Drosophila melanogaster: one gene and its partners. The gene in region 1 interacts genetically with each later gene. Each region holds a gene or a part of one and is shown on either strand. Other genes may lie near its edges.

What was found.
Region 2: of ninaE (region 1) and meigo, changing one enhances a phenotype caused by changing the other (phenotypic enhancement), as found in Drosophila melanogaster (one study listed by BioGRID).
Region 3: of ninaE (region 1) and Cdk5, changing one suppresses a phenotype caused by changing the other (phenotypic suppression), as found in Drosophila melanogaster (2 studies listed by BioGRID).

What each region holds. Positions count from the first base shown.
Region 1 is NT_033777.3:19,884,898-19,890,060, reverse strand, and holds ninaE (neither inactivation nor afterpotential E), read left to right. Parts: upstream 1-1,854; 5' UTR 1,855-2,030; coding exon 2,031-2,038; intron 2,039-2,101; coding exon 2,102-2,662; intron 2,663-2,837; coding exon 2,838-2,985; intron 2,986-3,043; coding exon 3,044-3,321; intron 3,322-3,389; coding exon 3,390-3,516; 3' UTR 3,517-3,806; downstream 3,807-5,163. Other genes in the region: Ask1 (apoptotic signal-regulating kinase 1), read right to left, coding at 4,330-4,567, 4,633-4,905, 4,966-5,163. UniProt on the Drosophila melanogaster protein: Visual pigments are the light-absorbing molecules that mediate vision. They consist of an apoprotein, opsin, covalently linked to cis-retinal.
Region 2 is NT_033777.3:21,136,569-21,141,293, forward strand, and holds meigo (medial glomeruli), read left to right. Parts: upstream 1-1,701; 5' UTR 1,702-1,920; intron 1,921-1,986; 5' UTR 1,987-2,292; coding exon 2,293-2,497; intron 2,498-2,549; coding exon 2,550-3,011; intron 3,012-3,121; coding exon 3,122-3,471; 3' UTR 3,472-3,797; downstream 3,798-4,725. Other genes in the region: Usp8 (ubiquitin specific protease 8), read left to right, coding at 147-377, 441-895, 952-1,282. UniProt on the Drosophila melanogaster protein: Probable sugar transporter.
Region 3 is NT_033778.4:15,568,600-15,573,193, forward strand, and holds Cdk5 (Cyclin-dependent kinase 5), read right to left. Parts: upstream 2,819-4,594; 5' UTR 2,704-2,818; coding exon 2,536-2,703; intron 2,472-2,535; coding exon 2,284-2,471; intron 2,124-2,283; coding exon 1,759-2,123; intron 1,697-1,758; coding exon 1,533-1,696; 3' UTR 940-1,532; downstream 1-939. Other genes in the region: Flo1 (flotillin 1), read right to left, coding at 152-227, 520-571; CG30466 (uncharacterized protein), read left to right, coding at 916-939, 3,079-4,158, 4,214-4,327; CG8204 (uncharacterized protein), read right to left, coding at 4,590-4,594. UniProt on the Drosophila melanogaster protein: Probably involved in the control of the cell cycle. Interacts with D1 and D3-type G1 cyclins. Possible regulator of neuronal differentiation and/or development.

The DNA.
Region 1 (5,163 bases):
GGCAGAACACTTGCCGCCGTTTACCCACTCACACGCACACTCACACACGCGTCACTCACACTGGCGAGCGCGAATCCATTGTCGAACATAAAAATACAAAAATCAAATCATAGGTGTTTGTTAATTATACACTGTGCCCTGGAGCCAGGGTGTCACGGTTCGTTTGAGAAGTTTGGACATGTCACGTAAATACCAGGTATTATAATAAAACGCTATTATTTGAATATAATAATAATATTATATTATAAGCATATTATATTATACTTACTTATACTTTACTTACTTATTAAATTCGTGAAATATACAGAGCATACTTTCAGGTACATACACCCCGAACTCAAATCTTTATCGTTATCAATACACGATCAACATAAATGTATTATTGTCGTATTAAATATTACAGAGAAGGGCATTCAAAGTGCCGGGTAAGTTTGGTTCTGCCTCTCTAGTTTCAAATTTGCCCGCCTCATTGAGCAGGAAAACAACAAATTCCCCAACAATAACAACGTCTACGGATCGCAGCGTTTATCTCGCTTATTTGCTAATGCTAAATGATCGTCTTCTTCCCCGCCTTCGGCGGCCTTCTTCCACTTCACATCGCAATGTTTGTTGCAAGTTGGCTTGTCCATATGTCTCTGTTGTTGCTATACCCATTTCGTTACTTGGCTTTTATGTTTGGGCCATCTAGCAGGTGGGCGGGGGACTTTTGTTGTTTAGCGAAACCCGAAAATGCCGAATAAATTGAAATGCGATTCATGGTTTATACCCAGATTATTTGTATATATGCATACACAGAACTGTAGGTAAATACGTAAGTATGGGAACCGCAAGTGCGGCTAACGATGACGCCAATATAATGATCATGATGATCAAATTGATGGTAATGATAATGGCGATATGAGCGCAGCTTCCGGTTTTGCGCCTCGGTATTTTTGTTAGTTTTTTGCGCTGGCTAACTTTATATGAATATTTATTACCTGCGCTTTTTTTGTATTGTTTTGCGGTGTGTAATTGATTTAAACCGAAAGATCTGCCGACATGTGTCGACTGTCACACCAGCTGACAGTTATTTCGGTTTAGTTCCATATTTGGGTTGGGCGCAAAGCGTGGCATCCCATTTGGCCATTTGGATTAGCCTAAAACTTGACCCAATTCAAGCTGATGTGTTGAGCCATCGCACAAAGGCGAACAAAAGGCTTTTATGCCAAAGCTGGACTGACAAAATAAAATCCAAGCTGCCCACACCAAAAAGAAAAGAAACAAAACATGTTCGGAAAATTCAATGGAGGTGCGAAAAGATCAATCAGCACAAAAAATCCATAAGCGGCTTAGCGTCTGGGGTGTTCATATTCTTAATTTAAATAGATTATTTTACTACTTCCAAAAGCTGGCATTCTTTTTAAGATAATCCAAGATTAGCAGAGCCCTCAAGATGTGCGTTCATCGGCGCACACACTGCGTATACTTGATTGCGCATACGCACTGGTGTCGCAGGCGAACGATACTGATATTTCTTCTGCTACGATATGTTTTCATAATATTCTTCAAATTTGTCTAGGCATTGACACATTAAATCGCTGACTTTCGCCATTGCTTTCTGCACAATCTGGAGACTCAAGAATAATACTCGGCCAGAACCCCCAGTGGAAACCCTTGAAATGCCTTTAACTATTGACATTGGCCCATTGCGATGTGCGCTTGCTTTCGTTATGGATATTATGATTATAAGCCAAAAGCTGTCGACACTTTCCTCTGCACATTGCAGACATATTTTTAGGCTGGCCTAATTGAATTTCAAGAGCAGGGGTTACACGAGCACCGCGAAAACTATAAAAGCCATGCGGCAGAATGCAGACATTGCAGGTTTCCAACGACCAATCGCCGCGACTAGTCCGCCCCAGTGAAATATTCAGAATCCAGGAACCCTTTATGTAAAAAGTGTTAGAAATATTGTTAGTGAATTTGCAGCTTTTTATGTAGACAGTGTGATATAGGCGGGATATAGTGACGCAGCCAGTAACCAAAACACAATGGAGAGGTACGATCGGTGGATCCACTGGATGTTCTGGTTAGCAATTTAACATTTGCTTCGGTGTTGCAGCTTTGCAGTAGCAGCCGCGCAACTGGGGCCACACTTTGCCCCCCTGTCCAATGGATCGGTGGTGGACAAGGTCACGCCCGACATGGCCCACCTGATCAGCCCGTACTGGAACCAGTTCCCCGCCATGGACCCCATTTGGGCCAAGATCCTGACCGCCTACATGATCATGATCGGCATGATTTCCTGGTGCGGAAATGGCGTGGTGATCTACATATTCGCCACCACCAAATCACTGCGCACGCCCGCTAACCTGCTGGTCATCAACCTGGCCATCTCCGACTTTGGCATCATGATCACAAACACGCCCATGATGGGCATAAATCTGTATTTCGAGACCTGGGTGCTCGGACCCATGATGTGCGACATATACGCCGGACTGGGCTCGGCCTTTGGCTGCAGCTCCATCTGGTCCATGTGCATGATCTCCCTGGATCGCTACCAAGTGATCGTCAAGGGCATGGCCGGCCGGCCGATGACCATTCCGCTGGCCCTGGGCAAGATTGCCTACATCTGGTTCATGTCGAGCATTTGGTGCCTGGCGCCCGCCTTCGGCTGGAGCAGGTGAGTCCTTGAAATGGTAAACCTTCTGGGAACCCATTTTTTAAAAAATGATCAAAGCTACTATATACAAATGTTTAAAAACTTAAATTACAAACAAAAGGTTTACAAATTACAATTGTATTAATATTATTACCACCTAACATTATCCTATAAATATATATTCTTAATCTAAAAGGTATGTGCCGGAGGGTAACCTGACCTCGTGCGGTATTGACTACTTGGAACGCGACTGGAACCCACGCTCATACCTGATCTTCTACTCCATCTTCGTGTACTATATTCCGCTGTTCCTGATCTGCTACTCTTACTGGTTCATCATTGCTGTAAGTGGCGACGAGACTCGCATATCCCAGTCGCTTAACCCGATATATCCTCCCACAGGCTGTCTCCGCCCACGAGAAGGCCATGCGCGAGCAGGCCAAGAAGATGAATGTCAAGTCCCTCCGCTCCTCTGAGGATGCCGAGAAGAGCGCCGAGGGCAAGCTGGCCAAGGTGGCTCTGGTCACCATCACGCTGTGGTTCATGGCGTGGACACCATACCTGGTCATCAACTGCATGGGACTGTTCAAGTTCGAGGGCCTTACACCACTGAATACCATTTGGGGAGCTTGCTTCGCCAAATCGGCCGCCTGCTACAATCCAATTGTATACGGCATCAGGTTGGTTATGGGCTATGAAACGTATATACCTTAATATTTAACCAATTTTTTATTTTCATTCCGTATAGCCATCCGAAATATCGCCTGGCCCTCAAGGAGAAGTGTCCTTGCTGCGTCTTTGGCAAGGTCGACGATGGCAAATCGAGCGATGCCCAATCGCAGGCCACCGCCAGCGAGGCCGAGTCCAAGGCATAAATTCTTTGGCGCAACAACCAGAACAGCAACAACAACAACAAGAACATCTAACTACTTACAACAGCAACAACAACAGCAACAAAAACAACAGCAAGAACAACTGCAGCAACAGAACGAAACGCTTTCGAATAACATCAAAAACTTCAACAATAATGAAAAAATTATGCAACTTTCTTACATAACAAAAAGCAATGTAAACTCAGTTATTAAATTTCCTGCAATGTCAGTTAAGGACAAAAAAAAACTCAACAAAAAAAATAAATGCAAACGAACTAGAAAAGTTATAAATTAAAATGAGCCTTTTCAAAACATAGTATATCTAACAAAAGCAGCTTTTAGCGTGGAAAAACCCTAATGACGAACCTACAAAAGTTCGGATATCAACTTTCGGTTATCTTTCGCCTTTAAAGTTTGGAGAACCACAACAAATTTGAGTTTATTCATTCTTATATGTATAATAGTCTTCTTCAGAAGCTATAAATCCTTTCCAGTTAACAAGAAATACCCCTTTTTTGCAAAGCACTTCACAATATATTATCTATTTCAGTTTTTGTTTTCTTTTTTTTTTAAATTAAAGGCACTTATGTAAATTCCATTTTTATAAGTTAACATGCAATCGTTAAAACTGGACACACAGACAACGCCTTTTCGAACTCAAAGTTGAAAAGACATGAGTCAGCATGGGAGAACTTAACCCAGGGCTGCTGGAGACTCATTGAGCTGAGCCTCGCAGCGGTTAGTAGCACATGGAGAACATTAACAATTAATCAGTAGTATCTGTAAAGGCACAACTCAGAAAGCTTTCAACTCCAGTCACTCGCTGCACGAATCGTACTCGCTTTCGCTTTTCTTGATTTTCGTTTTGATGCCCGGCGTTCCGGGAGTTGTGGTTGTGGGTGATGGTAGCGTATTGTTGTTGTCAATAAGCGCAAAAGAGCTATTGCCTCCAATGGGTTTGTGGTAAGTGCTTGGTGGACTGTCCACACAATCGGACGAGGTGCACACACGTTCTTGTATAATGAGTTTCCACAAACGCACTTCGATGCCAACGCTGCAAAATACCAAAAGTTAGTTGAGCATGGATTAAGTGTACTTTTCTTATAAGCTTTAACGCACCGCAGACCCAGCCTCATGAGGTCCAGCTTTTCCATGTTATAGATAAAGTCGTCAAATGTAAAACCTTCATTCAGGATGAGCGTCTTTGAGAACTCGTCTATTTCCTGCTGGGTCAACCACTGCTCCAACTGCTCGTCTACTTCGTGAAGACCAAAGTGATGCTTGTTTAGCTGCCTCCGGGGATTGCCCGCTATATTCGGACGGACTCCGGACGTTCCGCCCACACTGGTACTCATTCTATGGCACTTTTTGTTAAAGCCGTTTATTGTGCGTCTGTTAAGATGAAATTGTGAATTATAATAAAATTTACAATGTCCTACTTGGTTTACCAACCTTAATCTCTTTCTGCCGCCCATGTAAATGTGAGCCAGCTCCTGACTGATATTATGCAGGGCCCTCATGCTCTGCCGCTGCTGCTCAAGGAGCTGGCGTTGCAGCTTCTGCTGATTGTCACGGATGTCTCTCAGGATGCGCGCGCACTCCATCGAACTGGACAGAGCATCCCCGCCCGATTCCGCAGGCGTTAATCCC
Region 2 (4,725 bases), 1.3 Mb from region 1:
GTAGCGGGCGTGAGGCTCCAGCTGCCAACAGCTCCGCCCACCTACAGCATTTATAGCTCCATCTTTCCGCTGAGACGAGTAATAGCTATAGATTTTATTTTCCTCTATCTCCGAATAGTTAACTATATCCTTGGATAACATTTCAGGGTCGTGGACTGACTGGACTGAAGAATCTGGGCAACACCTGCTATATGAACAGCATACTGCAGTGCCTGAGCAACACGCCTCAGTTGACCGAGTACTGCATTTCGGACAAATACAAGAATTACATCAGCAGAAGCAACAAGACTAATGGCCAGGTGATCGAAGAGGTGGCTGCACTCATCAAGGAGCTCTGGAATGGACAGTACAAGTGTGTGGCCAGCCGAGATTTGAGGGTATGCAACTGAAAAAAAAAAAACACCCAAATTTCTTTCTAAACTAAACATACTTCATTGCAGTACGTTGTGGGCCAGTACCAGAAGATCTTCCGCGGCGTTGACCAGCAGGACTCACACGAATTCCTCACCATCCTGATGGACTGGCTGCACTCGGATCTCCAGACCCTACATGTGCCCCGTCAGCGGGAGATGATCAGTGCGTCGGAAAAGGCTTGGCTGGAATTTACCAAGGCGAAGGAGAGCATGATTCTGCATTTATTCTATGGCCAAATGAAGAGCACTGTGAAATGTGTGGCCTGCCACAAGGAGTCCGCCACGTACGAGAGTTTTTCTAATCTCAGCCTGGAGCTGCCGCCAAACTCGAATGTATGTCAGCTGAACCAGTGCATGGACATGTACTTCAGTGGAGAAAGGATCCATGGCTGGAATTGTCCTAGTTGTAAAACGAAAAGAGATGCCATCAAGAAGCTGGATATATCGAAGCTGCCACCTGTGCTGGTGGTGCATCTTAAGCGGTAAGTGATGCTAACACTATGCTATGCTTGTTTATAATTTCTTAAATCCCGCATAGCTTCTATGCGGATCCCAGTAACTCTGGCTCGTACATGAAGAAGCAGAACTACTTGCGCTTCCCGCTCGAGAACTTGGACATGAATCCCTACATAGCACGGGCGGAATCGCGGGCGGTAACACCTAAGACCTACCAGCTGTACGCCGTATCCAATCACTACGGCACCATGGAAGGCGGGCACTACACGGCATTTTGCAAGAGCGCCAACTACGGAAAATGGTTCAAGTTCGACGATCAGGTCGTCTCGGCGTTGGACTCCTCTAACGTGGTTTCTAGCGCTGCATACATTCTTTTCTACACCTGGCTGCCACCCATGCAGGTGCCTCTGTAGACGCTTCGCTCGGTTTCCTTTCGGTTTTTACCCCTTTCGTTTTAATTGTTTTTTGTTTTTCTCTCATATTATAGCTTTTAAGGTCTAGTCGCCACACCCTTTTATCATTTACAAATTACCGCTTAACTGTTAACTGCTATTTAAGAGGATAATCGCTTGTTTGTTGTTGTCTAGGCTCTTAGAACAGTATTACGCGTGGGCGTATTTTCAATGGGTGCAGGCTGCATTCACTAAAACCAAGAACTTCAAGTGCATTACCAGTGTAACAAAGAGAAGCCCGCATATACGCCTGTGTATGCGGGACTATAGTTTATTGTATTTTGCAAATATATTTTAAAACCAAATAAACGAAATTCAATTTCTGATACAAAGAATTTCTTTGAAAGAATCATGCGTAGGGTTTTTAGAAAACAAATTGGGGAGAGCGGGTATTTTACACTCAACAAATAATATAAAAAAGGGGGTGAAAGTTATTTTACCATTGCAAAGAAAAATTCAGCTAATTTTCGCGCCGAAAAGTTCAATTCGAGATATCCGATAAGTAAATATATTCACTTCCAACTAACGGTCACACTGTAAAACGCCCCCGCTCTTTAGCAAATGCAGTGTTGCCAACTCTTGCTTTCAATAAATAGCTAGTTAGTTGATTTATCAATTATTACATTTATAGTGTTTTATGTATGCCCTATTTTTCATTTATAAAGAGTTATGATTTAAACTTATTAAATAAGATGATGAAATTGATGATTCAAAAGAAGAACATAGCTATAACAGTGCACCTAAAAAATGGCCAAAAATACAGGTGCTTGCAATCACTTAATCTAATCTGGCTAGTAGCCAGCTAAAGCGGCAGCACCGACCACGTATTTGATTGGATTATTTGATAGTCAACGCCAAATCACGGCACTGCAGCCGCGACTCCAGAGAATGCCAACTGTTTAGGATCGTGCATTAAGTCCGACTTAACCAATTCGCAAGTCACACGCTTTAAAAACCGTCATCTGCCCGCCATGAATCTGCCGGAACGCAGCCGTTTTGTGATCTACGCCGTCGGTATCTTCGTATGCTACTTCTTGTACGGAATTGTCCAGGAGAAGTTGACGCGGGGCCGCTACGGCGAGGAGGTACAGACAGATGGATCCGTGGGAGAGCGCTTCACTTACGCCTTGGCCCTTGTTTGGGTGCAGTGCCTCTGCAACTATGTGTTTGCCAAGGGTAAGGATTACGTGGACTTGTAACGAATCAATTCTGATCTGTGGTCTTCCAGTGCTGCTGACCATTAGGCCGCAAAAGGAGGACACCACCAACGCGGGCTCCTACGTGGCCTGTTCGCTGACCTATCTTCTGGCCATGGTCTCCACCAATATGGCCATGCGCTGGGTTCCCTATCCCACTGCTGTGGTGGGTAAATCCGCCAAGCCCATCCCCGTCATGATCCTGGGCGTGCTGATTGGTCGCAAATCCTACAGCTGGACGCGCTATGCTTGCGTATTGACCATTGTCCTGGGAGTTATTCTCTTTATGTACAAGGAGGGCAAGGTGTCCAATTTGCCGGCTGAGACCACGCTTCTCGGCGAGGTGCTGCTCTTCCTCAGTTTGTCAATGGACGGATTGACTGGAGCCGTTCAGGAACGCATCCGAGCGGCCAGCGCGCCTTCCGGTCAGCAGATGATGAGGGCCATGAACTTCTGGAGCACCCTGATGCTTGGCGTTGCCATGGTATTTACAGGTGAGTGTTAAAAACACTTTATTTGAGCTAAAAATATTGGCTAAGACCTTTTTATGTAAGCCCCATACGTTTTTATAAATGTTCTGAAAAACTATAAAAAAAATCTTCAGGTGAGGCCAAGGAATTCATGTACTTCACCATCCGACATCCCGAGGCGTGGACCCATTTATCGCTGATAGCTGTGTGCGGCGTGCTCGGTCAGTTCTTCATCTTTCTGATGGTGGCCAGCTTTGGACCTCTGGCCTGCTCCGTGGTTACGACGACGCGAAAGTTCTTTACCGTCCTGTGCTCCGTTCTGCTGTTCGGAAACGTCCTGATTGCCCGCCAGTGGCTTGGAGCTGTCCTGGTGTTCGCCGCACTCTTTGTGGACATGCTGTACGGCAAGAAGGCGCCACTGGCTACGGCCAAAAAGCCGCCAGTCGAGGGAAAGCTATCCGAGGAAAAGAAACTGAATTCGTAGAATTTGATAGATGATTGCATAGCCCTATGTACTGTACATACACAAATTAAGAAGACAATGCTTCCGGCTCGAGCGGCTGCAGCGCCAAAGTTTCCCCATTTCCTAGAACTGCTTATCGTACAAAGGATTCTAGCTATAGCGAACACAGCATTCGATACTTGATCTGCAACCCATAGACCGTCGTTTAAGTTAATTAAATTATTGATATCTATTAGAAAAGGAACAAATATTGTGCAAAAGTTTACACCAGACCTGCGGGTCTCTAACATACAGGATCATTCAATCATTTAATGCTACAATTTATAATTAAAACGTGCTCTTTTATTAATGGTTGTATTATTTATATGGAACGTTACTAAGAAGGCCTAACAAAGGCAACTTATTTTCTGGCTCAGTTTAATAAATATTTTCCCATTTTTTTTTGTATTTTCTTTAACTTGAATTTAAAGCGCTTAAATCAGAGCTGCCACCTTACACGAAATGTGAACTACGTTCATAGGCAAAAGTAAGATGCTATGAAACTCGAGTTCCAAGATAAAATATCAATTTCGTGTTATACTGAAATAAGATTTAATATTGTGTTAGCTACTATATAAACCGTAATAATATGAAAAAAAGACTACACAAATTAGTTGTATCGATACCGCGACGAATCAATTGGCAACAATCGATAGGATCACTTTGCCGACCCTGGCAACTCTAGTTTATTGCCGTAGCCGTTGCAGATACGGTCGAAATTTTCAGAATGTTTTTAAAATGTATAAATCCAGTGTGCGCAATGCTAATTATACAATAAACTAATCGGGACGAAAATTTCCGAAAAATAAAAGAACGCATGTTTCGAGTTTCGGAACGGAACGGAAGGAAACACAAACGCGAAATTAAGCGAAAGTTGGAAAAAGGATATGCCCAGTATTAGCGGGAAAATGCAATAAAAATTGCAAAGAAAAGCAATCGAAATGCAAAAATTGTGATTATTTTTAACAGCAACGAATGCAGTGTGACGTGTGATTAAAAAGAATAATAAAATTGGCTCGTTTGCATAAATCAAATAAAATATTTTCTTATTGGATGAGTCGCACTCTAGTTGTTGTTGTTGCTGCTACCGCTGCCAGCTGTTTGACTGTGTATTTGTTTTTGCCCTGGTGACGTCCGTGCGCGTGTGTATGCGAGTGTCTTTTAGTGCTTTGGCTTAATTTTAGCAACTAAATTCGATCGAAAGTGAGTGTGGGTCGCAGCGACGCGAATAAAAGC
Region 3 (4,594 bases), on another chromosome or scaffold:
TCTGATAAAATAAGATTATTTTATTATAATTTAATATATTTTAATAAAACCGAATTCTTACGAATAATATTTCGAATACCCGCGCTTTTTAGCGCCTCCCTAACCTGTGGCTTTTCGTTGGAACCCCTGGTCTAAGCCGGTTAAAACTCACCGCTGAACCTGCTGGCCCACTGGCCAAACGAATGCTCGTCCTCCCGGCACCAAAAGCGGCTTCATGTAGCAGCACCCTGCGCAGAAAACAAACAAAAAACACTTTGTTTACAAAACATTGCAGCATTTGGATAACAGCACCGCAACGCCGTTCAAATGCGCACGCATGGCTTCGGACTGCCGCATATTCAGCTTCTTCCCCTGTTATCCCAACAACAACATTTGCGGTACACAAAAATCGATAGTGACGTCACTTGGGGTGGGGTGTATATATATGTGTGTGTGCGTGACAATTTCATTTTTATTCACTGACTTATTTATTTAATCGATTTGACATTATTTTGAGCATATAAGGATCGTGTGATTTACCAGAGACAACTAAAGCCTCGTTGGGGCCGCAGGTTACAAATCCCCAAGTCATTTCTGCAGCACTTATTTGTTATTTATATTAGAAAATGGGTTGCTGCTGATAACAGCTTTTGTTTTATCTGCGCGGTTAACACAGTTTTCCGATTATTAACTATATAGCGAATTATCCGATCCACAGGTAGCCTTGTTTATTCGTCTAATAATATATATAAAAGAATTTCCGAGGTACTCGGTGCTTAAGATTCAGAAATCCGACCGGTTCGGTTAGCAATTCGTAGCACAATAAAAAAATCTCTCAATCTGTAAAGTTCTCAATTTCTAACTCGCGAGTGCGCAGAACGACTTTAACCCCTATTGAGTGCCGGGGGTTGAGGCGACCACTTCAAAATATTCATCATGCTGCGACGACGTAGTGCTGCGGTAAGTGTCTTTATTGGTTTAAAAATCTAGGTTACATCTCAATTTTTTTTATTCTAATTTACTTAATGACTCATATCATTCAGAAAGATCGAAATTCTTAAAAATACACAATAAATGTAATAAGAAAATCGTCGACACTCATTAAATTTGGAAACCAGATGTATTGCCTAGTTTTTAGTCTTTGAAAACAGAAACTAGGATTTCAAATATTTTTTCCACATTCACACAAACAGTAGATATCGTCTAGGAATTTGAACAATTTTCGGATCTTAACGATACACTCAACATAAAAATTTTTAAGAATAAAACTATTTTACTGAATCAATAAGTATTTTATCGATAAATGTTAATTTGGCAGCTCAAATGGCTATATTAAGTGTCACATTGGTAGGGATTGTCATAAATCAAACCTTTTGCTTTGGTAAATCAAACTAATGAAATTATAAAGAACTTTTTATCTTATACTATAATCGAACTCTACTGCAAGGACATACATATATAATTAAAAGATCTTTGCTGGACAAAGTCTCGCATTTTGGCTTAAGTCTAATCAAAGGTCGTGAAAACAGTGGCTTGGAAAGAACCTTCCGACCTCAATGTCCCGAAGAGCTGCTGTCCGTAAAGTAGGGATGCTGCATCGCCGCCTCCGCGCTAATTCGCTGATTTGGCCGGCAGATGAGCAGCTTTTGCAGCAGGTCGCGTCCCTTGGAGTTTAGCCTAGGTACCAGCTGACTCCACGAGGTGATGGCCGGAAAAGCTATAATATAAATAGGCTTTTAATATTGGTATCGATAAATAAAATCCGTCTAGAATCCCTACATGGAAGCGCCACGTAGTCGGAGAGGTGCGAAACTCCTGGCCAGGAGTCCTCGTTGGGGGTGCCCAGCACACGGAAGATCTTCATCAGCTGATCGAGCACGTCAGAGCCAGGAAACAGCGGTCGTCCAGCGTCCGCCAGTTCGGCCAAAATGCATCCAGCGGACCACATGTCTATGCTGGTCGTATAGAGCTTGGCTCCAAATAGGACATCGGGTGGTCGGTACCACAGGGTCACCACTTCTGCGGAGTAGCACTTCACGGGAATGCCAAAGGCTCTAGCGAGACCAAAGTCAGCTAGCTTTAGCTCGCCGTTTTTGTTGATCAGCAGGTTCTGTGGTTTCAGATCGCGATGCAGGACATTATGGCTAAAATAGGATAATGTAGCGTAAGTTAAGTCTCAATGCTATAAAATGGATATCATTCGGAAATGTGCCACAGATGAAGTTACTCCAAATAACACTTGATTCTAACTATAATCGACACAAGATAAGACCTAATCCAGTGCTGATACATATATAGGTATACCTGTGGCAGAATGCCAGTCCGCGGAGCAGTTGGAGCATAAAGCTCCTGCAGACGGCCATGTCGATCTCCCCGTTGAGGCTGTCAAAGTACTTCTTGAGGTCCTGGTCGCAGTGCTCGAAGACCAGGGTGAGTTTCTTGTCCGAGTGCAGGACGTCTATGAGGCGCACAATGTTCTTGTGCTTCAGCTCCTACGGATGGTAATGTGCCGATTTAGTTTATAAACTGGAATCACTTCCTGCTCGTCCGACTGACCTTCAGCAGGCAGATCTCCCGGAGGGCAGAACTGGGCACACCCTCGTCGTCCTCGTCCAGTCGCACCCGTTTCAGGGCCACTATTTCCATGGTGTCGCGGTTGCGACCCTTGAACACCGTGCCGTAGGTGCCCTCCCCGATCTTCTCCATTTTATCGTACTTCTGCATTTTGCTGTGTTTTGGTGTGTATTATTTTGCGTTCAGATGGAAAACTCCGGGGATTATTGTTTTTGCAGTTTGTTTTTGCTGGCCAGGGATTCGTGCGCCTAACAGCACACTGTTATTCGCTTACAGCACGCGGTGACTAACCAACATCGCAGCTGACAGTCTGCTGTCACCAAAAATACTCAAAATTAACAGATATCATTTTAAAAATGTTGATAAAACTTTTGTTATAATTTTATTGTTTTATTTGGACTCGATATTAGCTAAACATACGAATATAGACCGACAATGATAAACACCGATCTTATGGTACCGCAATGCAACAATATAGCAGAAATATAAGTATACAAGTTTCCTAATTTCTTTTGCCCTTTGCAGAATACCAAGCCTGGCTTACTATGTCTGCCCGATGATGTTCTAATGATAATTCTAAGTTATCTCGACTTGAAGACCCAACTAAAACTGAAAGACTTTCATTTCCGGTTTAAGAAATTAATGCCGTATGTGTGGCGTGCTTATAACAAATGTGCATATATATCCTTGATTGAAATGCAGCTGAGCGACAAGGATTTGCTATTCTTCCTGGAAAGTACTCAACAAATCCTCAGCACTCTGCGGCTCAAAATGAATAATAGATCTAACTTCGAAACACTTACCAGCTGTAGTTTTCCAAAACTTAAAGATTTTCGATTTTCCACGCATTCGTTTAACTTAAACGATGCGGACGTGCCAAGAATGTTGAAAACTTTTCCAAATCTGACAACTTTTAGCCCCCATGGAAAGTTTACTGGCAAACACTTTGATGAATTCGAGTTTCTCGAGAACCTCACGGTCTCCTACTGCAGCAAATTCAATGTCACCAACTTGATACAGATCCTGAAAACCAGAAAAATAAAATCCCTGAAGCTGGGTATCTTCGATATTGACCAGATTTCGAACACAGAACTGCCCTGGAAAGGGATTAGAAACCTAGAGCAGCTGCAGTGCTTCCAGGAGGAAATGATGGTGTGGTTCCTATCGAAACTGGAACGTCTAACTCACTTGAAGAAGCTATTTCTTTGTGGTCACGTTAGATACGGATTTCTGAGAGAGATTCTCATAGCTGCGAAGAGAAGCACTATAAATATGATCGAGATAAGCCAAAATACATCCATATTTTGTGAAACTTACGGTTTAAATGTGGCTATTAAGACCCTAAAGGTGGCTAATTTTGGTATGCATGCGTATCAGCATCTTCACATTAATGTCAATGAATTTTATATACAAAATTCGGTTTGTGTGGACGAAATTAAGTTTCATACCTTAATACAAAACCTAAACACACACGAGGTCCTGGGTATATACCATTGCACCTTCGGATTTAAGGAGTTCACATTCGATGCGAAGAAACTGGGAGAAAACCGTACCACAGCACTTAATATTTATGTGGAACTAAACACGTATCTCATGTCTAATGAGGTCTAAGTATTTCACAACTTATATTAGCTTTCGTTTCTAATATTTTTCATTACAGGATCCCATCCCCATGACCTGGAAAGTGCAAGGGGAACATAGGCTTTTCAAGTTGCACATGAAGCATCCAAAAATCACTTTTAACTCGGATCCAGTTTCAATTTACTTTGATTGAGTTTGATTGCCAAGGAACGAAGCTGTAGACTGATGACTAGTTTGATATGCCAGCTGAGATAGATAACTTTAAATGGCCGAGCCAAATAATTAGTTGTACGTTTTCCCTGGTTATGGAAAAGATTCAACCTTACCGGCGGATTTCAATGAGAAGTTTCCAGGAGTTCTTCAATGCAAGCTCCTCTAGAAGCTGCCAAGGATTGACAGTACTATTAGTTACAAAATAAAGGCTTAGTTTTATTGAGACTGTGTGTCAACTTAATTCAGG